Linked DNA regions of Astyanax mexicanus. The protein of the gene in region 1 interacts with the protein of each later gene in a pairwise test. Links are inferred from orthologs where the notes say so. Each region holds a gene or a part of one and is shown on either strand. Other genes may lie near its edges.

What was found.
Region 2: the proteins of transcription elongation factor A N-terminal and central domain-containing protein (region 1) and obi1 interact in binary tests that used the Homo sapiens proteins (3 or more experiments, as listed by UniProt). The two-hybrid records come from large-scale screens. The link is inferred for Astyanax mexicanus from reciprocal best matches to the Homo sapiens genes TCEANC and OBI1.
Region 3: the proteins of transcription elongation factor A N-terminal and central domain-containing protein (region 1) and csrnp1b interact in binary tests that used the Homo sapiens proteins (3 or more experiments, as listed by UniProt). The two-hybrid records come from large-scale screens. The link is inferred for Astyanax mexicanus from reciprocal best matches to the Homo sapiens genes TCEANC and CSRNP1.
Region 4: the proteins of transcription elongation factor A N-terminal and central domain-containing protein (region 1) and tarbp2 interact in binary tests that used the Homo sapiens proteins (3 or more experiments, as listed by UniProt). The two-hybrid records come from large-scale screens. The link is inferred for Astyanax mexicanus from reciprocal best matches to the Homo sapiens genes TCEANC and TARBP2.

What each region holds. Positions count from the first base shown.
Region 1 is NC_064428.1:21,510,160-21,516,682, forward strand, and holds transcription elongation factor A N-terminal and central domain-containing protein, read left to right. Parts: upstream 1-4,472; 5' UTR 4,473-4,519; coding exon of another isoform or gene 4,520-4,544; 5' UTR 4,545-4,786; coding exon 4,787-5,860; 3' UTR 5,861-6,002; downstream 6,003-6,523.
Region 2 is NC_064412.1:53,333,118-53,341,142, reverse strand, and holds the start of obi1 (ORC ubiquitin ligase 1), read left to right. Parts: upstream 1-5,005; 5' UTR 5,006-5,131; coding exon 5,132-5,203; intron 5,204-6,203; coding exon 6,204-6,339; intron 6,340-6,695; coding exon 6,696-6,790; intron 6,791-7,088; coding exon 7,089-7,310; intron 7,311-8,025. UniProt on the Homo sapiens protein: E3 ubiquitin ligase essential for DNA replication origin activation during S phase.
Region 3 is NC_064408.1:94,696,115-94,703,159, forward strand, and holds the start of csrnp1b (cysteine/serine-rich nuclear protein 1b), read right to left. Parts: upstream 3,016-7,045; 5' UTR 2,815-3,015; intron 1-2,814. UniProt on the Homo sapiens protein: Binds to the consensus sequence 5'-AGAGTG-3' and has transcriptional activator activity. May have a tumor-suppressor function. May play a role in apoptosis.
Region 4 is NC_064412.1:10,608,636-10,616,079, reverse strand, and holds the start of tarbp2 (RISC-loading complex subunit tarbp2), read left to right. Parts: upstream 1-4,432; 5' UTR 4,433-4,639; coding exon 4,640-4,689; intron 4,690-6,344; coding exon 6,345-6,662; intron 6,663-7,145; coding exon 7,146-7,215; intron 7,216-7,340; coding exon 7,341-7,444. UniProt on the Homo sapiens protein: Required for formation of the RNA induced silencing complex (RISC). Component of the RISC loading complex (RLC), also known as the micro-RNA (miRNA) loading complex (miRLC), which is composed of DICER1, AGO2 and TARBP2.

The DNA.
Region 1 (6,523 bases):
TCTCAATGCACCTCACCCTATTTTACGCTGTTGTCATGTTTTGCAGAGTCTAACAAGTTTGGCCCTGTTTCTCCCTGTTTCTCTTTCTCTCTCTCTCTATCTCTCTCTCGTGCTTTTTTGTTCTCCCTTTGCATCAAGTTTACACTTGCAACACAGCACCAGCCAAAACCTCAGCCTTACTGACAGCTATTTGTCAAACTAATGCAAATTCCAAGATGACTGGCTCAGATGTATGCAAGTCATACACTCTTTTCTTTACCAGTTATTCTAGATGTTTGCAGGATGTTTGTCTCTTCTGTTTTAGTGGATAAACACTAAAAGTAACTTGATACACCAACAAAACAATGCAAGATGCCACAGCACCCGTCAAGCAATGGAGTGTGGGGGTTGAGGAGTGAAGAAGGTCATGTGATGTCATTCAGGAAGACACAATTGGCAGATTCAAACAGCATTGAGGACTTGTGGGAGTGTTGAGAGAAATCAGCCACTTTAGGATGTGTGTGGACAGCAGAGAAGAATATGTGGGAAACAGGTCATTTATAGAGTACTGCAAGAAAGCATTAGGAATAAATTACAAAGCAGTCATTTGATGGTCATCAAGACCAGTTTTTGTCTGTCTCATTTACACAGCCCCCGGCCCTTCTTCACACAAGCAAAGTCCATAGTGAGTAGATGCTGAACATCTTAAGTTTGCTTCTAAAGATTCTGTCGACCTAAAAGAATCAAACGACCGCACAGTCGTGCCAGACTGTCATGCCGTGACTCAGAATGGCAGTTTGTTGTCACACATCACCAACCAGGAGGCCTGGTGTCATGATGTGGGGTACAATTTTGCATGATGACAGATCATCTTTGGTCTTCATTACAGACATTTTGACAGCTCAAAGTTACATAAATGAGGTCCAGCAACCAAAAGGCCAACCTTTTTCAGAAAGCACATTCAGGTACACTATTACAACAGGACAATGCTTGTCCATATATTGTTGAAATTTCAGGAGTTTACCATGACGACACTACTGAGGATACTATGCCATTGCCAGCCACATCACCAGACCTCTCCCTGACTGAAAATGTGTAGGATGCTACTAGACATGCAATCAATACACCACTCCTGAGTCCTGCCACAAAATCTGCAGGAACTGTGTGAAAATATTCAAGCTGCATGGGATGCATAATCACAGGACATTATTAGGAACCTCTACATGCACAGGCGTTAAACATACACTACACATTACGTATGTAGATGTAGCTTAAAAAATACAAACAAAGAGTTGTCCATGTCTGTCTTCAAACCAACACTTCCTTCTGGGTGTAACTATTTTTGTAACTATATCTTTGAGAATTGTCTAAACATCTACTCCTTTTAATGGACCGGGCCTTTAATAGACCGGGCCTATCTAATAATACGCTGACATTTCAGTGTCATACTTCACCAAATTAAAGTGAAGCGAATAGAGGAAATAAACAAGGGTACTAAATAAAATCACACACTCAGAGAAGAACAAACTGGTTCTTTGTCATCTGGCACTGAAACAGTGTCAATTAGCTTAGCTTGTGATGAGGGAAGTAGTGTGAAGGAAGCACCAGGGAATCAGTCAGAACAATTGATACCCTTCAGACCGTAGCTCCCACTCTGCAAAACGGTATTTAGCAGAAGTTGCCTTGTTTTCCTGATCAGAGACCAGTTCCTCAAGTTAGTTTACAATAGCCTTGTTACAGATTTAGACAGTGGAAGTTGGTCACAGATCAGTTTTTAACAACATAGCTATGAACCCTAAGTACTGAGCACAGCAGGAAATGCTTCTTGCTCATTTAAGCATGGAGTCTTTAAACTGTGCGCTTCTACTGCACTCTAGCTGCAGACAGAGGAAACTGTGGACTCAGTAAAATTCCACTCGCATAAAAGTGATGGGACATCCGATTCATATCAATGAACCAAATGTCCAATTCATTGACTCTCAAAGTCAAGACAAGTCAGCTTTTTATATCCTGTCCCTACATACTTTTAGAAACAGAAAAAGGAGGCCATCTACAATCTACAGAAAGAGAAATTGGAAAAAATAAAATGTTTGAGTTTGATTTACCCAACAGCTGCTCAATATGGAGTTACAATGTAGAGGTGGACCAATTCACATTAAAGCTAAATACATATATTTAACTATTCAAAACACACAAAAACTTGCACAACTAAACATAAAGCCTAAACACTACACCCATGATCTACAATCCCTCAGTCCCTTGGGCACTGCATCAAGAACTGTCATTGAACAATAGTGGATAGAACCACATGAGCAAAGGATTAATTTTCAAAGCTTTTGTCAAGCACAGCAATACTAAAGTACATTCACAAATAACACCTAAGACTTTACTGTGCAAAACAAAAGCGTGATGTTATCCATGTCCAGAAGTGATGTCAACTTCTCTGGGCTCATAGGCATCTGGGATGGACCGTCCATGTGCATGTGCTCTGGGCAAAAGACAAAAATGACCATCCAGACTGTTATCAGCAACAAGTCATGCATGGGGTTGTTTCAGCACAAATTTGTGATGGTAGCATTAATTAAAAGTACATAGAGATTTAAGAGAGTAACAGATGCAGCCTATATGACAATTTTTTTTCCAGGGACATCCATGCATTTTCAACAGTTCCATACGCTGCACACAATGCAAAGGCTGCACATGTCTTTAAGGTGTTGAGTAAAGATATGAGAGTATTACAAAGTAGTAAAAGTTTTATCTTTGCAGGCCTGAAATGCAAGAATAGGGCCCTTTCAACGGATCAATTCATTCATTTTTGGACATCGCAGCTGCCCACCCAAGTAAGTACAGACTGGACGGCAGAGGTGCAGACATGTTAGTCATCTCACGCCTGCAGGCCCCATGCTTTTAAAAGCAATTGTGCCTAATGGCTTCTAGTTGAAGGACTCCAGGCCTGATAAGAAACCAGACGTTCCACTCAGTTCTCAAGGCCTGTGGTTTTCGCAGCCACACCCGAACGTACTTAATGGATTACAACAGTAGGGGGTGGGAGCCGAGAGGTAAACCAGTTGCAGAGTTTTTCTCAGTGTTTTTGTATGTGTTTGAACCTCTCAGGTTACTACAATTGTGGAGAAAATTAGAGAAGAATGTCCTTTATACTGTTTGTATGTAAAGTTTTGAGCCTTTCTTCTTTAGTCATATATGAACTACAGGATATTAACAACCCCCCTGTGGGAGTTCACTCTCTTTAAAGTGGCAGGAAATCACACCAGACCAACACGACGTGTCCCTTGGGTCAGGCTGGTCATGAGCGCTCAGTTCATTCATTCTTCAGGGAGGAGAATGGACATAGTGTTATGGCATTTGAACTAAGGGATATCACAAGACAAACACATAGGCTAAGCCAGTACAATGGAGCAGATAGTGTGTGGGTCAGAATGAGGGCATTGTTGAGCCCAATAAACACATACCTCTGTATTATAAATCCCCAGTGGTATTATAAAGCAAACTATTACAATAAAAACCAACTTGAATACACATAGTTGAGTATAAGTCAGCTTATCTGAATAAAAATGGTCAATTTTACACAATAAATGACAAATGTTTTAAGACCAGTTTGTTGGTATGTTAAATACTCTCTCTATCTTTGCACTCTGAGATATACTACGATGTAGGTATTTTTAACTGGTCTTAGTTTTAGATTTACTAGTAGACTACACATATTAAAATAAACAAGAAATACTTGGGATATATATGTGGTAATGAATTATAATATGAATGAAGAAGTATACTAATAGTACACTTAAATAAACCGATTTATATTTTTTTGTAAGGGTTGAGCTTTACAATTCCCAAGAGAATACTGAGTGTTGTGTTTTGTGTAGGACTGATTCCCAGTGACACACTGTCCTAAACAAACTAATACTAATACTTTAATAATAAATATAACCTTTAAATGTTTTTAACACATCGTTTTTGTAGTAGGTTGCTGAAAATAAAGGACCACTTAAAATTTGGAATATTATCAAGAAGAAGATGGATGATCACAAGCCATCAAACCAAGCTGAACTGCTTGAAATTTCTACCAGGAGTGGTATAAAGTTATCCAAAAGTAGGCTGCAATGAATGCATGAAAACTGTGATTGAAAACCAGGGTTATTCCACCAAATATTGATTTTTGAACTCTTAAAACTTTATGAATATAAACTTGTTTTCTTTGCATGATTTGAGGTCTGAAAGCTCTGTATCTTTTTTGTTATTTTAGTCATTTCTGATTTTCTGCAAATACATGCTCTAAATGACAATATTTTACTTGGAATTAGGAAGAAATGTTGTCCGTAGAATAAAACAACAATGTTAATTTTAGTCAAACATATACCTATAAATAGCAAAATCAGAGAAACTGATTCAGAAACTAAAGTGTTTTTTACGGAGCTGTATATTTTTTGACCAACTGCGCCATCCAGCGCCTGAGTGAAACACTGTCTCTGAGAAATCACAACAAACATGGCGGCTCGGAGCTACAGAAATACGAACTGAAATGAAGAGGCTGAATAAAGAATACGGTATTGATTACAGATATTGAATCAGACATATAATTTTTACTGCTGTAATGATTGTATGGGAACAGACAGTCCGCTTTTTTAACGTACCTCAGCCTCTTCTGTTCAGAATAATAACAAAACATTATCTCCTCAGGCTGAGAGCTTTAGTTAGCAAGCTCATCTAACTGGCTAACTAAGTATAAACTGAATGAAATGGGTAACTAGCTCAACTACAATGCCAGTTTTGAGTCCTAGCAGTAGCTATGGACACCAAAGAGCTCATATTCTACGCTATTCAAATAGAAAAACTACAAAAAGGTTGCAATTATGAAGAAGTTTCATCTCTGCTTGCAGACTTGAGCAACAGTCCTGTAACATTAGAGCAGCTGCAGACCACTGACATCGCCAAGACCGTTTATCAGCTATTAAAATCATGTCCAGTGCAAACTAGTGTTCGCAAAACAGCAAAGGAACTGCTCTCAAAATGGAAAGGGATGTACAACTCATCCCAAGGACACAGCAGTACCAAAGACACAAGTCAAATAAAAGAACATGGACCACCTGAAATGGCTCAATCTGTTCCAAGTGCTGAGACTGAAACAGTTTTGGGCCCAAAAGTTCAGCACAGTGATGTCCAACAGATGTCAAGTTCTGATTCAGATCTACCATCTTCTAAAATCACTGCACTTTTACTGAAGGCAGATGATAGCAAGTCCACAGCTTCAGTTCCAGAGAACCACAACGGAGAAGATTCTAGGGTTCAGTCTACCAGTTCCACAGACTCCAAACCTGTGAGAACCAAGTGTGTGGAGCTTCTTATCCAAGCCTTGATCCCAGACCAGAAACCCACAAACCCAGAAGACACAAGACAGATTTCCACCCTAGCTCAAGCCATTGAACAGCACATTCATGCTCTCCACAGGCAAAACCAGGCAAAGTACAAGTCCTGTGTAAGAAGCAGGGTGGCCAACCTGAAGAATCCAAAGAACCCTCATCTTCGCCAGGGTCTTCTGACAGGAACCCTAACCCCAGAGGTTTTTGCCCGCATGTCTGTGGAGGAGATGGCAAGCGAGGAGCTCAGGAGCCTGAGGGAAGGATACACTGCAGCAGCTATTAGTGAACACCAGCTACCTCAGCAGCCTGAGGGGACGACCACCACGAAAGTGCGCTGCCGCCGCTGCCAGAGCATGAACTGCAGGGTGACCCAGGTCTCCCGCGGGACCCTCTTTCTGCCCTCCTGGGTGAGGAGTGGAAATAACGACGAGGACGCCATGACCTTCATGACCTGTGCTGAGTGCGGGGAGCAGTGGTACCATAGTCGCTGGGTATGCCTCTAATAAATAAGCCTAGCATTGACTGTGGGCAGGTTGCATGACTGCTACAGTGGCCCAGAGAGTCTGTACATCCTAAACAGCTATGTTTACATTCAAAATATTTTATATGTATAAAAATATTGAATAAAATATTTACATAACAAAACATTGGTATATCTTATTTGGTGGCATGTATTGAGTGTTACAACAAAATTGTTCAATATTTAAAACCAATAGACTTGTGCATATATACCTTGCTTGGGAATAAACTATAGGGAAATTGCATTGCGTGCTTTTAAACTTTTATATAGTATATGGTGTGCCAAAGAACCTATAATGTGCACCATGTGTATATATAATGATTTTAGAGTCATATAACTAATGAACTATATTCATTAAGAAATGGGAAAGAAAATCTGTTTTTATTTTTATTTTTTTAGAATATTAAGAGCATTGTACACAAACCATTCTAAACAATTATCTGAATGACTGAAAAAAATACACACACACACACATATATATATATACAGGATTTGTTTTTTAAATTGGGTATTTTGTCAATTATTATTACATTTGTTGGGAATTTTTTTTTTTTAATTTTCAGTTATCACAATAAAACTACATAAAATTTTGATAGCGTTAACAGTGACAATAATGATTATGTAACAATGAATCCATACTAAACTA
Region 2 (8,025 bases), on another chromosome or scaffold:
TGCTGTTCTCCTGAACTCTACCCTGCAGAGAGGTGATGGAGCTTAGGTGAGCGTCCCACTGCTACAGCGAGTCGCCATGGCACTCTCCTCCATCTCCACAGCTATCTCCATCAGGGGCATCACTAATCAATACATTCCTCCTGCAGGGGGTGGGGGCAAAATGTCTAAATCACCACAAGAGTTCAGCCACGGCATGCTAAGCTAATCCTGTTCAGCCAGAGTCACTGAAAAACATACCAGACTAGAGGTAGCGGAGCGTGTCCCTATCTGTGTGTATCTGTGTGTGTGTGTGTGTGCAGGGAAACAGGTGGGGGGCAGGACAGAGGGAAGGAAGGAGGGATAGAAGGCTAATTAATGTAAGCATTTGTCAGTGATTAAGCTTTAAACAGAAAAGGTCAGGCTAGCGGTGGAACCGGGCTTCTCCCCGATGCTCTGCTCTAAGGCAGTCTAAACCTTTCCAGCCTAAATGGTAAAGATGCCATTTCGCCGTGTGTGTGTGAGAGCACGCGTGGAATGGGGGCTCAGGCCGGACGCTCGGGTCACCCTCCATTACCCCGGCCAAGCTAAATCTGCCGATCTGTGTCATTTAGGGGATGAAAAATAAGGCCCAGGACGAAATCAATAGACGCTGGAGTCTCGACCAGCTGTGATTAATTGACTGTCACCAATTAATGAGCGAACGATTACAAACCACTGGACTGAGGCATGTAGGGGGTGAAATATGATCTTAGGAAAGATTGTGGAATATTTTGAACGTTGACTATTCTTTATTTAGACACTAGAGGTTTTTAGAATTTTTTTTAATTAGTTTTTTTGTCCAACATGTGCAAGGAATTTATGTAAAGAACTTTAACATAAAAATATGTTCATAAGGTTTTTGTAACGAAAGTAAACACAAGATTACAGAAATTATTAAAGAAACACTTACTTTTATACTCCAACTAGGTCTGGGCAATGTAAAGTATATATCAATATTCAGATAGTAAACAATTTTATGCAAGATATAAAATTGCCACGTTCATTATTTTTTAAATTTGTAATAAGTGTAATATATGCAAATTTGTTAATTCCAAAAAGGTGCATGGGTTGTTTGTATGGTCTCATTTCTAGAGGGATGTCCAAAGTAAAGTATAGTGCAAAACATCACCATTAAAGGTGGCGAGGTCAGGCAGGACACAGCGGAATATTCCTTTTAAACACTGAGACAACTGAGACATGGCATCATCTGAGGTGATGATTCACTGGGATGAATCATAGTTCCTGTAAAGTATGAAATCACTGCTGCTTTAAAGTTCTGAGGCATTACGAGAACATCATGCTTTTAGGTGTCTGTCATGAGTGTGCATGTGTGCATTCCCATTACTGTGATGTCACTAACAGCACAACACAGAGATACTGCATGTTTGAGGCTTTTCTTAAATGACTTCCATAGTTCTGCTAATCCGTAACAAGACCACCACTTTTGAAAAGTGTGGGACATGATGTCTGACCAAATAAGAATAAAATAAAAAAAGTAAGTCTATGCAATGTACAATCATAATTTATTAGTCGATTTTGTTGTTAGCTTTTTGGTTAGCTTTTTTCATTGATATTCCGGCTTTAATGTCTTATTTACACTAATGAAATCATGGTGGATTGGTCGAGGCTAATATTTACATTGTTACACTGCGTTAAACAACAGTTCATACGTTTTGGTGAGAATGTGTAATTGCAAAGAGCATGATGGAAATTATTAAGTCTTTTTTATGTTGCCAGCTCTCTTCAATTCAAATTTTGTGTGATTGAGCAGATGAAAACTGAGTTTGTCATTCTGATACCACCATGTTTACAGTAACTACGGTAGTAGTGTCATAAGCAGCAGCATATGGCACAAGATGGAACAAACTGTAACTTGCAAAACTGTCTCTTAAAATTATATTAATAAATCCAAAGAATCCTCTGTTAGTCTTGTCTTTTTTATGTTTTTTTTTTCCATTGTACTGTACCTGTACCGAACCGTAAAGTCCAAACCATGGTGTGAACTAAATTGTGACCTTTGTGTACTGTTACACCCCTAGGTATATGTAATGGCATATGACTTATTTCAGGGAATTTAGTAGAGTATCCTCATGCATTATACACAATGCTGACTCACTCAAGAGCAGAAATACTGACTCAACACAGGTCAGGAATTTCTTCATGCTCAAGTTTACATTATTTCATATCTTGCTGAATGTCCTGCATGCATTTTTAAAACGACAACTATATACTGGTGTAGTTTGGGTTTCTGAAGCAGAGAGGACACATTCTGTGCAGTTTTCTTGTGTCTGAAGTTACTGTTGACATGTTTTCACTTGCACAGAAGACTCATACTGTGGGTGTTACAGTGGTACGAAAAAGTGTGGGCACCCCTTATCATTTTCATGATTTTCCTTTATAAATCACTGGTTGTTTGGGTCAGCAATTTTGGTTAAATGTATCATATAGCAGATGAACAAGCAAATTAGACAGATGCATACATTTGGACACTCTTGTCATGCAGAGGGCGCACCCATCCTATGGTCATCTTAAAAGCAGATAAATGAAAAAAAGCTATATTGGCCTTTTAATAAAGACACAGAGACATTTATGAATATGGAATATGTATGAAATACTATCTTCATTTGGAGATCCGTTAAAATGTTTTAATACTTTGGTATACAGTACTACCATTAAAACTCCAACCTTTCAATGCAAGTCCAGTTCATGTTATTAACAAAGCAAGCCGAGCCAATATCATTAGAAAAGCCACTGGCGTCCTGCGGTTGCCCTATAGTGATCTGCTTGGACATAGACTTGTCTGTAGGACATACACCACACAATGTTTTATGGTTAGACAGTAGTGGATGGTGTGTTGAAATGAAACACTTGCAATAAATGGCAGTAATGCAGTTCCAGCATCAACGTTATGCTGCAATCAATGTACAACACAGTTTCCCTGTGGTTCAATTCTAATCAGGTTAGGTCACAAGGGCTCTAAGATGCACTGCCATTAAACTACAAGACAATGAAGCCACAGCATGTTTCTGCCATTTGGCAATGAGTTTTTCAATTCAATTCAGCTCAGTTTTATTTGTAGGACACAAAAGCCCAAAGTGGCTTTTCTAATGAGCATCGCCGAGGGAGAGAGGGAAAGAAACTGCCGGTGAGAATCAGGAAGAAACGCTGAGAAGTACCAAGACTTTCTATGAGTGAGAGGAAGAAACACTAGTGTGGGCTGCAGAACATAGTATAATAAGGATACAAGCCAGACAGCTTTTTAGGACACAGGGACCGTACTGAACATGGGTAGAGAACTGAGGGCTGGGGTCCAGCTCAGTTTGGTTTCCTCACTCTACACACCAGCTAAACTTTCCAATTAACAGGTGAGTTGAATCAGGTGTGCCCTCCAGGGCTCCTGATATAAGGGTTGGAAACACCTGTGCTTAATAACACTAATTTTGTACTCAGCTAAACTTTCCATGTTGGAACACATTCATTATGGTGGATAAAGAACACAGTGGAATCACAGACTGTAACATCACCAGTGGTGGACTAAAAAAGGCAGGATATTCCCAGCTAAGAAAGAACATATTAACGCATTTCCATCGATGTAAAACTGACACCACTCTGGTTCCCAAACCTAATTTTGAACTGTTTGCCACGTTTCCACCAACAAAATAAATTTCAGAACCGAACAGACCTAATGGTTTTTACAAGCCCAAACGGAACTGGTTCAAGAACCAGAGTTCTTTTGGTGGAAAAGCGCTCTATAAGAATGTTTAGCAAGGTTGTTGAACCTTAAACCTTAAAAGTTCCAGGAATGTTATGAGAATGTAACATAATAATATCTGCAGCACAATGTTATTAAATTATTTCTCACATAACGTTTCTAGTTAGATGAACACTAATGCTATGGAAATGTTAAATGTAACAATACTCAAAACTAAAAATAAATACAATAACACAAAAATATTCTAAGCACATCCAGAAAACCTAACCCTAATTAACCCTTGATGGGGCACAGCTGTTAACTGAAAGCCATGAAAGCTTGGTGACTACCTCATAACGCCAAGATATCTAAGCAAGAGGTGCTACTTTAAAGTATTTAAAATATAAAACAAAATCTGGTTGGTTTATTATTTTTTTGTTTTTTAAATTTCTTTCTCATAGTTTGAATGATTTTAATTTAAAATGCTGATTTTTTTTAAATAATGGTACTGGTACTGTGTATGCTTAGCTTATATTGACTGGTTCACACTATTTTGATAACTCAAAAATCCTGCATTTGGTCTTCACACTGTAACAAAAATACAGTTTAATTATTCCCAAGTCTTACCAGAAAGTCTTGTTGTCCTTTCCCTGTGTCCTTTTAGTGGATAGTGCTGTTAACAAGCTGTAGCCGGGTTAGCTTTTAGCCTTGAGTGATTAGCTGGTGTTTGGGAGTTAGCTGAAGTAGCTAGCTAGCATTGGCTACAGTAGCTGGGTTAGCTTTGCTTTTAACTGTGAGAGTGACTCTGTGAGAAATGACTTTCAGGTTACAGGTTATTTTAGTTATTTTTTAATATTATTTATTTTTATGAGTTTAGCAACTTAGCAACCTAAATTTTAAGGTCTTAATTCTCTTTATATAAGTTACATATATTTGACATAACAAAAATAGAAGGAACGTCTGAAAATGTTCTTAATATTTGTTTGCTAAGCTAACCACTAGCTAATTTGTTAGTTAGCTATCTAGCTTCCAATGTTTTCTCTAAACATTTTATATGCCTGTTGTGTATATACAAATATAAATATTTATGCACAATTGTTTAAAATATTTATATATATGTATATATATATATATATATATATATATATATATATATATATATATATATATATATATATATATATATATATTTAATATTATTTTCATTTAATTTTTTACCCAAAAGTCCGTAGCAGGGTGTGTGTTTATTTCCCAGCGCTGCTCAGCTCAGGCTTCTCTCTTCCTGTGGAGATTTTGAATCGCGTTTGGTTCCTCCGGCTCGCCGTAGCGCGGTTACCGGCGCTGTTTTGAGTGTGTGTTTTCTCCTAACGCGCGGAGTTTACAGGGTTTTAATCTGCATGTGTTTGTTTTAGAGACTGAAACATGGCGCAGACCTGCCAGAGCGTTACCCTGTCTTTAACTCTGCCCATCTCCTGCCAGATCTGCCTGGGGAAGGTAACTAATGCAGTGAGATTACTGAATTAATGAAGCAGGAGCTGCTTTTGTTCTGCCTGCTTTCACCTCACCTCACTTACCCAGACTCATATACTGAACTCCGGAAAAAAAAGAGATAACAGATAACTAACATACTATTAAACTGTTAAAGTGTTTTCATGTTTTATATTTAGTTTCTGCTTTTATTCGTTGGTTAGTTTGGCTAGTGCTTTAAACCTCTTGCTCTGATGCTCTGTGTATATTTTAGTGTGGTGCGGAGAGGCTAATACCTGACCTGAAAACAGTTTAACCTACTAAAGTACTTTAGCTTAATGAACTTAATAGTTAAAACAGTCAGTAAACCCAACTTATTTATTACTTTAAGTAAGTACACTCCTCTACTGCTGCTCTATATTACAGGATAAACCTAATTATTATTAAATATTACCAATATAAAAGGAAAGACTTAGTATTTGTACAAAACAGTAGCATAGGAAAACCTGACTTAGCTAACTAGCTTACTTATTTATTGCTCTTGTAAGTATCCTTCACTGCTGCTCTCTACTGCTGTAAGGTTGAACTTTGGTCTAATTGGAAATAAATACATATTTCCAATATAAAAGGAATATATAAGACTTAATATGGTTTAGTGTACGAAAAAGCAACATATGAAAACCTTAGCTCACTAGCTAGTTTACTTAACCTGTACTCTAAAATAAAGTCAATATTATTAACAATATTATATTATTTTTGTTCCTGTTGATACCAGTTATAAGAAATAAAATGTGGTTTAATATACTAAAACAGCCACAGAGTTGTCTGATCACAGATTATATAGAAATGCTATCTAAGAATTGTGATTTTGGCTATATTGCCCAGCTGCAGTGTCTTTTCTCGTATGTATGTATGTATGTATGTATGTATGTATGTATGTATGTATGTATGTATGTATGTTTATAATAGAATAAGTAATTTAAATAACTACTATTATTGGACTCACACAGTTGTCTTCTCTCAACAGGTTCGCAAACCCAAGATTTGCTCCAACAATCATGTGTTCTGCTCGACCTGCATTGACGTCTGGCTTCAGAAATGTAGCCAGTGTCCCACCTGCAGAGTGGCCATCACCCCTGAAAACCCATGCAAAGAAATCATAGGTAACAAGCTGTGGAAGTCCACTGAAGTCCTGCCATGTCTAGTCCTGTTTGTAGTTCCTGCTCTTTTTAGTGGCAAAAAATTTAAATTAAATCAAGTTTTATGGTAAATTAAATATGTTCAGAACCCTGTATGTTTTTGTTTTGTAAGCATTGTTCTCCTTTACATAAGTGGATCTTCAGTATTATGGCAGTATTATTAAGCAATCCCATCATTCAAATAGTTCTACATGCATGCTAATGCTACTGTGCATCAGTTACACCAGAGTATACACATTATGTTTATTGAACATTTATTTACTCTACATTGCCACTGCATTGAAACTGTCTTATTTATCTATTTTTTTATGTGATAATAGGAGCAACAAATGATGACAGCGAATCAAACGAAAGCCACTCAGTTAAGAAGCATCTCAGAAAAACCCGTGGGGAATTAATACTGCAAGAATACGAGGTTTGAAAGTTATGCTTTGCTTTTTTATGCACCTGGTACTTCAGTTTAATTTGTATAATTTTACATACTTATAAGTAAATGTCTCATAATCGGCTATATATTTTTTAATAGTTGATTATTTCTGTGTTTATTTGTCCTTCAAAAGAGCTATAGAAAGTTTCTGATCTGCTGATTGAAATGGTTATTAAATACTGATCTGCATAGAGTTTAGTTCTTCTTTTAGCTGTTTAACACCAGCTAAGTGTTTCTTATGTAAGGCACCCAGTCTGATTCACTGGATCACTGGTCTAACTTTCAGGATGAAATTGAAACCCTACTGAAAGAGAACGAGGAGCTGAAGAGCAAAAACCTGAGCCTCGAGACGCAACTGAAGACTGCTCTGGAACCCAGCACCTGCTTCTCTTCTCAAAGTGAGACTGAAGCCGTTGACCCGAGAGTTCTGGAGGAATCGGCCAATAAACTCAAAGCTGCCAATGAGCTCTATCAGAAAGTCAGACAGGATGTGGACAAGCTGAAAGAAGTAAGATGTTAATGTTTTAATATTCGCTATACAGAAAAGCCAAGCATTCCTAAAGGTTTCAGAAAGCGGTTTTTGGAGTGATGTCAGGGAATCTGGAAGTATGTGGAAGTGCCAGTGGAAAGAAATTTTTCACTTCAGTTTGAGAAAATAAATAAATAAAACATAACATATAGTTTCCATACAAGCACAACACAATTTAAGCGTCTTTAACTGACCGGAGATTGATGCTGTGTAAATCAATAATTAAGAGGTATATTAAAGTAAAAAGCCTCAAGAAATTTTGGCAATGTAACACTGCTAAAAACTTTTTGTTAGCAAAGCTTTACAAAGCAAAGTGAGCAAAGTGAACATTTTACCTTAATTAGGATTTATGAACAATTATATTATTAGAAAAGTGTTTTAATGAACAGTTATTTTAATTGATTATTTAAACATTAATTGTAATGTCACAAGTTTTTAGTTTTTTCTTTGGCACAAAGAAAGTTTGAAGGACTGTTTGTTTGCGCAAAATGCATTATCAAGATGTATTTTTTTACAATGCTTCTAGTAAGGAAAATGGTACTTACATTTAGATTAGATTTAAATTAATTGCCTAGCTTAGGTAGTGCTGGGTGTAATTTTAAAATTATTGATACAGGTATTGATACAATACTTTGAATTCGGTACTGATACCCAAATTATACTTTTTTTTTTCTTTCTAAATTGTAAAAAAAAA
Region 3 (7,045 bases), on another chromosome or scaffold:
ATATCTGAAATGCAAAGCTGGGGCAAAGCATGCCTTCCGCATTAACTTCTCAATGTTATCCCTCGACTTGCTCAGCACTCTAGCCAGGCTAATAAAAGCTAATAAAAATACAGACAGTGGCTTTCCATCCCATTGCTATAAGAGCCTCCCTAGGGAGCAGGTCAGCCGGAGTGTGTGCATGTGTGTTTGTGTGTGAGAAAAAGAGACAGGACGCTGTGGTCTGGGACACTTGCTTGGTACCTCACAAGCTGGGAGGAATGCTGAAGACTGACAAAACAGATGGGACCCCATGGGTTACAGCCTTAGAGGCAGCAGCCTCCCCACCCCCTCCATCCCCTCGACACAAAAGCCTCAGCACTGTGTGCGAACTGCTCCAAAACAGGGGCGTCCTGGCTTCTGAGGAGGCCGACTGATTAACAATGTGGCCACTGGCTTTGCACATGAGAGGGAGACAGAGAGAGACAGACAGAGAGGGATGAACTCAAATAGCACAGTTGAGTGTTCTGGACTTGTGTAATACCCTGCATGCTGTGATGCATGAGAAGTCTCCACTAGGAAGCGCACATGGGGTCTTGACTGTTTGTGTATTTCAGGTGCAAACAGGAGGAAACGAGCGAGACAGAGGCAAGTTGCGACTGCAGTGCTGACCTCATTACTGCTGGCTGAGGTTACCTGGCCAGGTGGCCCCACAAGTTCACCTAACAAGGCTGTTCCTTAAACAATACAAGTGTTCTACTGTATTAGAGACTGTAAGACACCACCAAAACACCTTTTTCAATACAACACTGAAATCATGCCCTGATCTTTCACCTTTAGAAGAATGTTTTGAAGTGCTTTAAATGAAGAAACACACAGATAACACCACCAAGCTGGATTGGCACAGACTCACTTTTCCTTTATGATATTTCATCCATATATTTAAGATGAAATTTGACACATAACAATCTATACAGATTCTAGCTGATTTAGTTTTACATCATTGCAAAGAAGCAAATGATTTACTTCCTTAAGAGTAACACAAAGAACCATTGCAAGAATCTAAAGACCCAAAGGGGAAATCATACCCCTCTTGGTAGATAAATTGCTCAGCAACTGTTGGCACAGGTTAGTAGGAGTGTCAAGAGAACAAGCTTAGAACAAAAGCAAAAGTGAAATTTCACTACAAAGACACTTTGGGAGCCCCGGACACAGGGGAATTTTCTAAATTACACTGAATTATATGTGATAGATAGGTAGGTCTTTCCTTTATTTTAAGTTCAGCTAAGAGATAAACTAGACTAAATATTAATACTACTTTCAAACAGAATACGTTTTTTTTTTTCACAGCGTGACTTCAGTTAATCTTGCATTGCTAGCTAACAATCACACACACTCTTCTGGCGATGCTAACTAGTTAAGTAGTTAAGCTTGCATTGTTTATTTTGGTTTTCAATGTATAAAACAGATTAATGCAGTCAATTAAAGCTGCTTAATCGTACCTACATTATATACCTATATTTTATAGATATAGTTAGCTTATGTAATTTATATTGCTATACTTTTTTATCATAGCTTTTATTAACGCTTCATTTTTTATTTATTATTAACAATAGGTTATCTTAAATACCTTAAACTTAAATGTACTCATTTGCAGGTTTTAAATATGCTTATACAGTTAAACAATCGCTATATTTAAATTAACGTGAACAACGTTAATTAACGTTAGTTAGCTTAGCTGTTCACGGTCTCAATTAGCTAAAAAGCTAAATTAGCTAAACCTAGTTGACGCTAAATATGTCGAAGTAACTGTCGTTAGTTATTCATAAGATATAATGTTAAACAAGAAAATTGGAACCTAATAACGTTAGTTTATGTTATGTTTAGCCGTGTCTTGCTTCCTTTTTAACGGTCATAAACGTAGACATAAACTAGTAAGCTAGCGAATTAGCTTAGCTAAGTTACCTAAACCCGAAGAAGCCCTCTTTTAATGTAGTTATTATTAGCTAAAGCACTGCGTTTAACAGCAGGCAGAAACAGAGTCTGCCACTAGGTGCCGGTGGAAATTAAAGGGCAGCTCTATCGCTGTGAATCAGTCAGTTTGCTGCCCCTTCTGTTTAATATCAGTCTCAGCAGGCTGTAGTTTACTTACCTTAAGGAGTCGCTCTCGTTTCACTAACTTACCACAGGCATCTATATACCTATCCTCCTCAAACACACATTTAATTATCGCCGCTGTCTTTTACACACACAGCCAGAGACTGCTTTAATTTATTTGAGAGCTGACATTCAGACAGACTGGTATATTACCTAGCCAGCGTTAACATAACATTCATAATATTCAGAACAGAAGAACTTAGTTAAGCTATTATAATGTAGTTGTGCTGAAGTCTCTCGCCACGGCAGGGGACAGTACAGTGCTCCAGCTTGTTCACACACTTAAATCAACTACAACCAACACAACGTAAAAAGTACAAAACTACAAATGAGTCAACATTTCCAGTTTAACTATAACTATATAACTAAACCACAGAACCGCCTTCTCGACATCAACATTATCATCATCTGTGACATTAAAACAGCGGTAAAACAAACTAAACACCAACTAATAACGAAAGCCAGCTAACGCTACACTGTTTTTATTATTACTATATCTAGCTAAGTTACAATTTTATTTTATTTATAAGGAATTTCTTTACGTATTCCACTGACCCAAACCATCTTATGATCCGCTATGATTTATCTCGCTATTAGACATTAGTAACACGCCTTTTTAAAAAGCAAGAATAAAGCAAAAAAAAAAGCCTTATTAAAAAAAATATTATAACAACCACTCACCAAGACTTAGCGAATCCGATCACCATTAGTGATATCTCCAGTTAAAGGCGTGTAGACGAAACAGTGTTAATAATCCACAAAGCGAATCCGCGCGCGAAGCCTCCGTTCTACTGGATCTGATTTGTTTTATTGTGTGTGGATGTTAAAGGTCCGTCCGTGCTGAAGCGTGTCCCTTGTCTGAGCCAGACTGGCTCTGTGTTCTGTGGAAAACTCCCTCCCGGCGTCTGACGCAGGCGCCCGGACGTCATTTTCCCCCTACCCGCTTTCCGCCAGGCCACGCCTCTTCTGCGCTACGAATGAGCCGGTGTTCCGTCGAGATGTGCCACCTTGTCAAATCGTGCTACCATAGTGTATTTAAAGGTAAAAAATACACAAAATTAATACATGCTCGCTGTAAAGGCATCGATATAATATTTGAATAGCCGAAAGAGCTGTATCAGAGTAAAACCAAGGCAAAATATAGTTGATTAGAATCCGTTTTATAGTTTTTATTTTTTTTTATTTTTGTTCACCGTTGTAAAAAAAAATATTACTCAAGCAAAAAAATGTCAGTGAGTTTAAATTGTATAATGTACCAAATAAAAACAAAATGATCAGGAAAAAAAACGTGAAAATAGTAAAAAAGAGAGAGAATTAATACATGCGCGGTGCTGTAAAGCAGCACAAATCGACAGGTAGCGCAACTCGACAGAACACCGGCGGGTCTGCTCTGCTGATCCACAGCGCTGAAGACCCGCCTCTCCTGCACAGCGATTGGCTCAGGCTTTACATATATCCTAACACTCGTGGTAAAAACAACTAAAACAACTTTTTTAATTTAAATACATAATTTAATGTTTTACAAACAAAGCAGCGTTATTAAGCGTTTTTCTGAATTACTGCTCAAACCTAGCATAAAAGAGGCGGGGCTTTGTTTTTCCAGAACATAGCCAGAACAGCGGGACTGCTTGTGATGGCTGAACTCTTGAGCCAATCACGGCGCGGAGTGGGCGGGGCGATTGGCAGTACGGGTAGAGGTATAATAACGTGAGTTATGGAGAGGCTCAGCCCACGCCTTTTCCTCCTTTCCGGGCATCCTGACATCAAGTATGTGGTTATATCAACTGAATGTAATGACGACTGTGAAATAAGAATGTAGTAAATATTTTTTTTCCCCAACTTAAATTCCAGATGGTTTTAAAACAAGGAGGTTGAACTTGGGCTGTTCTGTTTTGAGCTAAGTATTGATATAAAACACTTAGACAAAGCAAGTTTTTTAGAAATTAATGTTTAAGAGCATGAAAACTAAAAGAAAACAGAAAGAGAGGGAGTTCATGTAAAAGGCGTAGTCAGCCTACAGTATGTAGTAGGCTGCTGTTGTTTCCCAGCTTCTCTGACTCAGCCCCGTCCGCCTCATGAGTCACAAAACATCATGTACAAGGTTTTACATCACTTAGCACCAGTCATGTTGTTGTGTTTATGAAATTCACAAACTGTCTGTCAAGGCTTACAATGAACTCTGTCAAAATACAGAGTCTACAATTCAGAAAATGCGGAATCTGATGTCAGATTTGATCGTAGAACTAATCTCACACACTCACACAAAGTGATGTTATCTGTGTGTTTCTTCCTGTGGGGTCGTGAAGTGTTTGAGTGGTTTGAGTAGGATAGCCTACTTAAGTGCTCATCTCAAGTGAAGAGCTTTATAAAAGTCTAATGTCTCTTAAAAGTAGAAACACAGATCAGCCTTAACATTAGAACATTTAAGTATGCCCCTCAGACATGTCAAGACATGTGCTTTTTCAGTAATTTGTGTTGCAGAAGCTGTTCTGTGGGGTCAGACCAGATGGGCTAATCTGTAGCACATTATGTGCATCACTGAGCCCTAGGTGCCAATGACCCTGTCAGTGGTTCACTGGTTCACTGGTTGCCCTTGCCTGGAACCCTTTTGGTAGATTTGAACCACTGCATATTGGGACGACCCCACATAACCTGCCTGAAGTTTTGCAGATGCTCTGTCCCAGTGGTCTAACCATCACCATACATCATGTGTCTCTGATCTTATGCCCACTACCCATTTCTCTGTTTTTTACACTGTAACTTGAAGAACTGTTTATTTGCCTTTAAGAATCATGTAGATCCTACCAACTGACAGGTGTTAACCTGATAACCAGATAATAGATGGTTCTTTCTTCACTATATTTTACTATTTTTTTTAAGTCAAAAGAACTCAATATTGGTGGTATTGTGCCAATTTATATAACATTTATTATGGTACTGTATAAGATTGTTTAATGGGCAAGTATCTGGAAGCCAAATTAAAACCAAACCAAACTGTCTGGGTGTGAACTGAAACAAAGCAACAGTGCCACATCTGATGTATAAAAAGTCATTATCATTCCTCTTAAGCCTTGGAGAGAATGACACCGTCCCGTTTCCTCAGACTCAGAAACCGCCCCTGCTGCATTGCTGCTGCACTCTCCCTAACAGCATTATTTACAAACCCACACCTGTACAGCACTGGATTCCAGCGGACTGCATCACTGTGTGCGAATGGAAAACCTCCTGGCTTTTCTTTCTGCAGAACTGAAAGTGAACAGCTTGTCCTTCCAGTGTAATCTCAGGTGTAGGGCTTAGCTGCAGTTGGGGAAGGGCCTCTGACAAACTGTGAGAAGGGTTTACAGTAGACTAATTGAGGGCTGCTAATTAAGGACTGTTGTTTCAGACGGGTTTGGTCCATTTAGAACAACATGTCCTGCTGACTCTTAAAAAGCCATAGTATATTGTCTTCAAGTCCTTTAAGGCCATAGTGTATCATCATGGTTAACCTTGTATCTTTTTCTTTTCATTTTAAATTTTTGACATAGTTTGCATCTGTTTCAGTTAATGACACATGACAAATAGAATAGCTCTAAAATGACTTAGAATATATATTTTTTACATTAAAAGAATCTATCATTTTATTTGGTATAAAATTAATTAGTAAATAGTCACTAAATATAAATGATTAAGTACAATAATGCTTGTATTTAAAATCTAAAAGTATAACAGTACTCTTCTTACTGAATTTGAATGTTTTGGTTGAAAAAAAATGTCCAATCAGGATTTGTGATTAGCTCTTGTATTGGTTGGGACTTCACAAGCAGAACCAAATGCCTAATGCATCAGATTAATTACCAAGACAACAAACAAAACTGAACTGAACTGAATCAACCTATCTGGTTCTGATTTCTTTTTATTTCATGCTAAAATAGCATATATTACTGCCAAAAAAATTGAAGTGCACTGCTGTCAGCTTCGCATTAACATGCTATTAGAGCCTCGTAGTAGGGCTCTAATAGAAATTAGCATTTCTGTACAGGTTGGTCTTTTCTTATTTTGACAGAGGTTTGCTGCCTTAATTGAAGAACTGGGTATAATAGCTGTAGTTTGCCAGGGCATAAAACATTGTCCCATGCATCAGACAGGCAGTGTGTTCATAATCATTGGTGTAATAATCTAGGAAAAAGCTTTTAGAGACATAAGTCTCTATAAATGCTTGGTCAGCCCACCACTACTCCTGTGAACTATTCTGACTTGTGGTTTCTTTACAACAGAGCATTTTACACCAAACTGCTTAGGGTGACATTCTCCTTCAAGTGTTTTTTGATATGTGCTTTTGTATTTATGCTACAGTCCCTGCCACAAAGATATGATGGTCTGTTATTATTCTCTTTTTATTCTCACATGTATTTTTTAGCATAGTATACTTGTATACTATAAGTGCATATATTTTTTTTAAATGTCATTTACAAAAAGGATTCTGCTCTTCTCAGAACCATGTTTGTTGATTATAAGGGTTAGAAGGTAACGATCCAGCCTCATTTGACTGAATAGACTGGACACAGGAGCATGGCAGGCCAGCTGTATCTTTTTTCTGGGGTTAAATTGATGGTATCGGGCTGAGCAGCCTTTCTCTGTTATTAAATGACACCATTAAGTGATAAGTGATGGTGTTGATGTTTACGCCGGCTGCTCTGTTCTCACCTCAGCCGTGGTGTGTTTATTTGTTTCTGTGGTGGTGATGGGGTTGTAAAAACTGGCCCTGCAGACAGTTCCCCTGCGTCCCCGGTGTCTGAGCACGCAGACAGACTGTCCGTGATTAACTCGCTGTCTCCTCTGTGCTTTTAGACATTATTGATGCCCGTCTGGACGGACTGTCACGACAGCATGTCACATGGCCCTGAGTGTTACACAGTCTCCTGCTTAGTCT
Region 4 (7,444 bases), on another chromosome or scaffold:
TATTTGTAGTGTTAGTTGTTTTAGCTCTGTGGTCTTAAATCATCTGAACCTGCTGGCGTTGCCTCTCTTCCCAGGCAGTTAGCTAACTAGCTAGCTAGCTAACGATAGCTAAACAGTGGCCATAGTTAAAATGGAATTGGAATTACTTTTGAGAACGACCGTATTGCCAATAATATTTACTGTAACCGAAGCTTTAACGTAGAAGCATTGTCCGGTCATTAAGTCAATGCACTAACCAGAGCTAGGCTGATAAGCCAATCTAAGCTAAATCAAAGAACCGTCTTTGGCTAAATTCGCTAAGCTAGCGTTAAGTTATATAAGTTTGTGGCACCCACAATTAACCTAGGCAACTGGGGGCAATATCAAGTGCATTTTGAATAGCCTGAAGAAGTAAGTTTATGTTAATATTACATAAATAAGGCAATTTAAAATAGTTTGTTGTGGGAAAACATTTATTAAAATAGCTTAATATGATGTGTGAGAATTAAAACGGCACGATAATTCTGGTCAGGTGTTAAATGTGTATTCCCGCCTTTAGCTTAGCGTTAGCTTAGCGTTAGCTAAGCCATAGCATGAAGAAGTAAGTTTATGTGAATATTACATAAATAAGGCTATTTAAAATAGTTTGTTGTGGGAAAAAAATTATTAAAATAGCTTAATATGATGTGTGAGAATTAAAACGGCACAATAATTCTCGTCAGGTGTTAAATGTGTATTCCCGCCGTTAGCTTAGCGTTAGCTAAGCCATAGTGTGAAGAAGTAAGTTTATGTGAATATTACATAAATAAGGCAATTTAAAATAGTTTGTTGTGGGAAAACATTTATTAAAATAGCTTAATATGATGTGTGAGAATTAAAACAGCACGATAATTCTGGTCAGGTGTTAAATGTGTATTCCCGCCTTTAGCTTAGCGTTAGCTAAGCCATAGCATGAAGAAGTAAGTTTGTTAATATTACATAAATAAGGCAATTTAAAATAGTTTGTTGTGGGAAAAAAATTAATTAAAATAGCTTAATATGAATGATGTGTGAGAATTAAAACGGCACGATAATTCTCGTCAGGTGTTAAATGTGTATTCCCGCCGTTAGCTTAGCGTTAGCTAAGCCATAGTGTGAAGAAGTAAGTTTATGTGAATATTACATAAATAAGGCAATTTAAAATAGTTTGTTGTGGGACAAAAATAAATGGCCATCTTCAACATTTTCTGAGATTTCTAATTTGTCTTTTTCTACTTGTGCAGATGGAGTCATGAAATGTGACGGGACAGCCACCGAGGACTTCATACTTCGGAGCATCTCAAACATGCACCACAAAGACGTGGAGGACACACCGCTGTCTCTCAGGACCTAGAATCTTAATGAAAGTATAATGATGTTAAGGGAAGGTGTAATGTAAAGTTGTAATGGTGTTAAGGGAAGGTGTAGTGGAAAGGTGTAATAGTGTTGAGGGAAGGTGTAATAGTGTTAAGGGAAGGTATAATATTGTTAAGGGAAGGTGTAATGCAGGGGTCTCAAACTCATTTTTGCCGAGGGCCACATTGACATATTGGCTGTCCTCTGAGGGCCAGATGTAACTTATAAATATGAGAAAATGTAACCAGATGTAATATAAAATGAATGTAATTACTCCTTAATGTTAAATAACTCTCAATATACTATTTATTCAATCAAATATTACAGTTGCATGGAAAAATGTTTGCTTGTTGCTCTATTAACATAAATCCTTTTAATTTGTCATGTTATGAAATCCAAAAACTCCATCAATCAAGAACCAAACTATTCAAGTGAATAGAAATTACATCAAGTACAAGTTATATTAACTTTGATCAAAACGTTTGATACTGAAATAAGGCTTAATAAATATAAAATCAAAAATTGTGAGCTGTGACAGATTTAGCATTTCCTCAGATTTAGCAGTTCCTCATCCAACCACTAGTCGGAGCTGCAGCTGCAGCACCACAAGCCCGCAGTCTTTGCTTAGTCAGAGCTACAGCCCAGCCACGGGCTACAGGACTCAGCTGAGGCAGTCTGGAGCGTTTTGAAATTTTTTAAGTTCTTCTGTGTATGAAATAAAATAACCCCACTAACCGGATAATACAGCTCTCTACAGTTCATCTTTCAGCCCAAGCAGCTAACAGCAGCAGTTTAGAGCAGCGTCACGGAGGCACTGCTCAGATTACATTATAAACAGGTCAGTTAGCGCGCTGCTAACCTCAGGATGTTTATAACTACGGAGTTTAGTGGACACAAGGTCTGCAAGGTTAGACTGTTGAAGGCTACTGAAGACTACTAAAGCAGGCAACGCAGCGTAAGCAAAAAAAAAAAACACACACACACACACACACACACACCAAAATACAAGTTAAGATAAAATATGAAAACGAACATAATAAAGCATAAATAATTAAATTGAATTGCGGGCCAGATGTATGTTTATTTTGTTAACCCGTGAGGGGCCGTATGAAACCGCGTGGGCCGGTACTTTGAGACACCTGGTGAAATGTAAAGGTGCAATAGTGTTGAGGGAAGGTATAATATTGTTTAGGGAAGGTGTAATGTAAAGCTGTAATAGTTTTAAGGGAAGGTAAATGTTTAGTGAAATTGTTATGGTGTGAATCTAAGGTGTATGTTATGTTGATGTAAAATAAAGGCATTAACCCCAAATGAGATTTACTCATTATGTTTATTATTATATTAATGTTTCCCCAAACAGAAAGGGTCAATTTAAAATCAACAGTGGTAAGATGGGGGTAATTAATTTATCCCTTGCTTTTACTGGTTCTTTGCAGGTTGACATGTTTTGGAAAAAGTGAGAGGGTTGAAATGCAATTTATTTGTAAAGCATATTGTGTATAACTAACGTGCATAACTAGTTCCAGAAGGTTGTGAACCTGTTCCAGTAATTGTTTGGCTTAGCTTTGTATGCGTTTCCAGTTATCTGCTGAAGCTGGAACAATGGAACAGTTGCCACCGTCTGAAATGGCACTACAGTTATGCAGGGAGCCTCAAAATAGTTGGTCTATAAAAACATATACATGTAAATTTCACGTAGAAAAGACGTCCACAACGACTTAATTTAAACTAGAATTAGCCCTTATCCGGAGGTCTGGGGGACGTCAATACTGGACGTGCAGAAGACGTCAGAAAAAAGACGTCGTCTGGCGTCACAGTCTGCACCTTCAGGAGACCAAAATTGGACGTGCAAAAATGACCTAGAAAAGACGTCGTTTCAACGTCTCTTTGTTTAGTGGGTCTTGTTTAGATGACAATTTTGCACATCTTTTCATTTTCTCAGTCACCTGAAATGGCTTTCAGTTAACAGCTGTGCTGAACTTAAGAGATAATTACTTGATTTTCTTGCCCTCTTAATGTGTTTCAAAAGCATCAGTTGTAAAGTTGTGAAGATGTTGAGTTGGTATAGAGTAATACGCCCTGTTTGGGACTACTCAACTAACAAAAAATAAATATTTTCATCAAAATATAATTTTCATTTTTATCTGCTGCTTTTATATTGTGGCCAAATCCTTCACTTTTTAATTGAGGAACAGTGTACATATTTCACTTTAACTAGTCTGTATTTTTAATTAACCCTGTCAAACGATATATATATTTTTGTTTTTGTATTAGGGTTTAAAACTAATATATATATATATATATATATATATATATATATATATATATATATATATATATATATATATATATATATATTTATATATATATTTAATATTTTATTGTTTTAAACTTGTAACTTTTATTTTGAAAAGTGGCGCTATTGGTGGGCATCGCTCGCATGGTGCATTCCATACTAAAATTACTGGAAGTTGCAAACTGTTTTCAAACATAGGCGCTTTGGCCGATAGCGTAATATTCAGTAATGTGATATTAAATGTGTAAAGGTTTTTAAATACGACACAAAAACTCGACGTTATCTACTTATCTAGTCAAATTAGCTCGCTTATAAACGTGTCGATAGAGCAGTAAAAGCAGCGTCCATTGCATATATATATGTATGTAACGCTGCATCAGTTTTACTCCCGGTGTTATGACAAATTGTGCTACCTTGTCAAACCGTGCTACCCTAGTGTTTCTGGTGTATATTTAAAGGCAAAAATACAAAAAAACAGAAAATGAGAAAATAATCCTGTCAGAAGTCTATGTAGAATATTCGGACAGGCTAAATTTCTGAATCAGGTAAAGTTATGGTCATATAGATGATTAGAAATCGTATTTTTTCATTATTATTTTACAGTTTTACAAAAAATATTTTTGCCATTATTTTTTATTAAATTGCAATTTACAGTTTTATAACAGATAAAATATCGTGGCATTATCATAAAATAACATCACAACATTTTTAAAAATGTGGGTCGGCGCATGCGCAGTGCCGTTACGAAGCACATATTTATGGGTAGCGTACCTCGGCAGGACACCCTGGCCTGTGGCGCGCTGCTTCACTGCGATATGAGCGCTGCTGTGGCTGTGTGATCATGTGGGACCGCTGGAGTAGGGGTTGCCCTTTCGTGTCACAGGTTTCCCTGCCATGAAAACTGCTAGCTAATGATATCAAGGGGGGCTCGTTTACTTTGGGGGGTTTCTGCACTCTTAAACGCGTGGGATTTCTATCTGTTGTTGGGGAATGAATGACGAGAAAAGCCCGGCTAGTAAGAGAAACTCTGGGTGTACCAGGTGAGCTGCTTCTGCTTCAGTGCTGGGCTGGTTAGCACACGCTGAGCTAGCATTATAACCCAGGCCTCTGCTCCTGATTTACTGCATTATATTCAGATACATTATTAGCCAGGGTTTAAGATTAGTGTTGTGCATAGTAGAGCTCATACCATGTGGTGATAGCATTTGATAATTGTCTGTTTTCAGGGTAGAATAGTGGCTAGACACGCTGGGTGTTGTGTCAGAGTTGTGCTACCCATAGATTTGTGCTTCTTAACCAGTGTTCTACCTTGTCAAACCGTACTACCATAGTGTAGTTATATTTAACTGTAAAAAAAAATACAACAGTAAGTAGCATATTAGAGCATGTTACCAGCAGAAGTCCCAGTAACATTAGATGTATGGATAGTTTGGATAGCATGAATCACTGTGTCAAGGTAAAGTTATGGCAATGAGAGGTCTTTACAAACTGCTTTTGTATATTTTTTGGATAATAATTGTTGTACTTATATTTTTTTATTAATTTCCATTTACTATTTTGTGCAATGACAGTGAGTCCAAGTTGTTTAATGCACAAAATATAGTTTTATTGTTAAAAGAAATCATTAAATAATCAATAAGTGTGGGTCAGCGCATGCGCAGTGTCTTTACGAAACACGTACCGATGAGTAGCATAATTCGACAGAACACCGCCACTGGGCATGCGCTTACTCACGTTTTTATGTTTTCATGTGTTTTTTTTTTCTTCCATTTTTTCTAATTCAGTTTATAAAATTAATCTTTTTGTGTGTCTTAAACAACCTGAACTCACTTTTATTATTTGCCTGAGTGAAACAAACTCTTAACCCTCTAGTGTATGGCATGATGTTGCCCTCAGGCAACAAACCATCTTTTTGTTCTTACGCCATTCCATACCAAACCTTATCTTTTATGTATTAATTTATGCTATTTTTAATATAATAGTACAATGCATATCTACTCTCAATTCAATGAGGCTTACAGCCAATTATAACCCAAAAAATGACAGACGAAGACCAATTGGTACTTTTAGCAGTGTGGGCAGTGTGCCAAGTCCTGCTGAAAAATGAAATCTGCATCTCCATAAAAGCCGTCAGCAGAGGGAAGCATGACGTGCTGTAAGATTTTCGGAGAAAACACTGCACTGACTTTGAACTTGGTATAACACTGTGGATCAACACCAGCTGAAGCATCTTGGCATTTATGTGTCTCCACTCCTCCTCCAGACTCTGGTCCCTTGATTTCCAAATGAAATGTAAAATTTACTGATGGTTTGGAGAGCCATGTCATCTGCTAGTGCATCAACAATAAAAGAAATAATCGCTTAATATAGATCACTCCATGTAATACATCTATATAATATGAATTTCTAATTTTGAACTGAATTAGTAATTTAAAGTAACTTTTCAATTATATTCTAATTGAATGAGGGACACTAGTATGTTAAAGTATATCTGGCTGTTTTTTTCTGTATTTTTCTTACATTCTTGTTGCCTTTGGTCAGCATTTGTAGATGACTTTTGTTTGTCCTATCATGGTAAAACATATTTGTGTATCTACTAGTGATTGGGGCATAGTGTTGCCCAAATACATTATTAGCTATTTTTACACCATTAGCAAGCTCAAGATCACCCCTGACACTCTTTTTCTGTTCTTAGTATTGAGCAAATGCTGGCTGTGAACCCCGGAAAGACACCCATCAGTCTGCTGCAGGAATATGGAACGCGGATAGGCAAGACACCAGTGTACGACCTGCTGAAGGCCGAGGGCCAGGCCCACCAGCCCAATTTCACCTTCCGCGTGTCTGTGGGAGAAATCAGCTGCACGGGCCAGGGCCCCAGCAAGAAGGCTGCTAAACACAAGGCTGCAGAAGCCGCGCTGAAGATGCTGAAAGGAGGGATGCTGGGAGGGTTAGGGGAGAACGGCATGGAGGGAGATGGGTTTGTTGGAATAGACATGTCCTTGGACGGAGATGGGTAAGAACTATACTAGTTGCCAGTTAACCTTAATGTGTAATGTTGTCTGAGCTACCTGATATGTTTTTTGATCTTCATATTCAGCCTAATCCTCGATATTATCTCTAAGGTTATGTGGAGATTGTAATAGGCACATCAGATCAGTTAAAATATGACTGTCCACACTGTTATTTGCAAGTAATCAGATTGCACTCTTTGATGAGGAGTTTGGCATTAGTAACTCTGGATTTAATCAGGTCACTGTTTGTCACATCGAATTGTAATCACATTTCAAACCACCTCCAAATGTAGCGTTATGTGTTGTCTTGCTACCCAGGCTGTTAAATATCAATCTGGATACAATCTAGGTATGCCAGAAATCAGTTTTGTGCTGGTAGTCCGAATAAAACCTTTTTTTTTTTAAATGAGCACAATCTTGGTTAAAATACATACTTGGGCATTGTGTCTTGTGCTATTTATTGACTGCATTGACTGGTTCCACAGCTCCCAGTCAGAGATAAAGTCTTCCAGTTCCAGCCAGCAAGCTGAGTGTAATCCAGTCGGTGCTCTGCAGGTGAGGGATTAATGGATTTTTATGTAAAGAACTTCAGAATAGCAGCGTCTCTTAATTCTATAAGTTTAATACAATAAATGTTGGTCTAAATTGAGGTATTTATGAATCTTCACTACTTTTTATAGGAGCTGGTGGTGCAGAAAGGCTGGCGTTTACCCGAATACACCGTCACACAAGAGTCTGGGCCTGCACACCGCAAAGAGTTCACCATGACCTGCAGAGTGGAGAG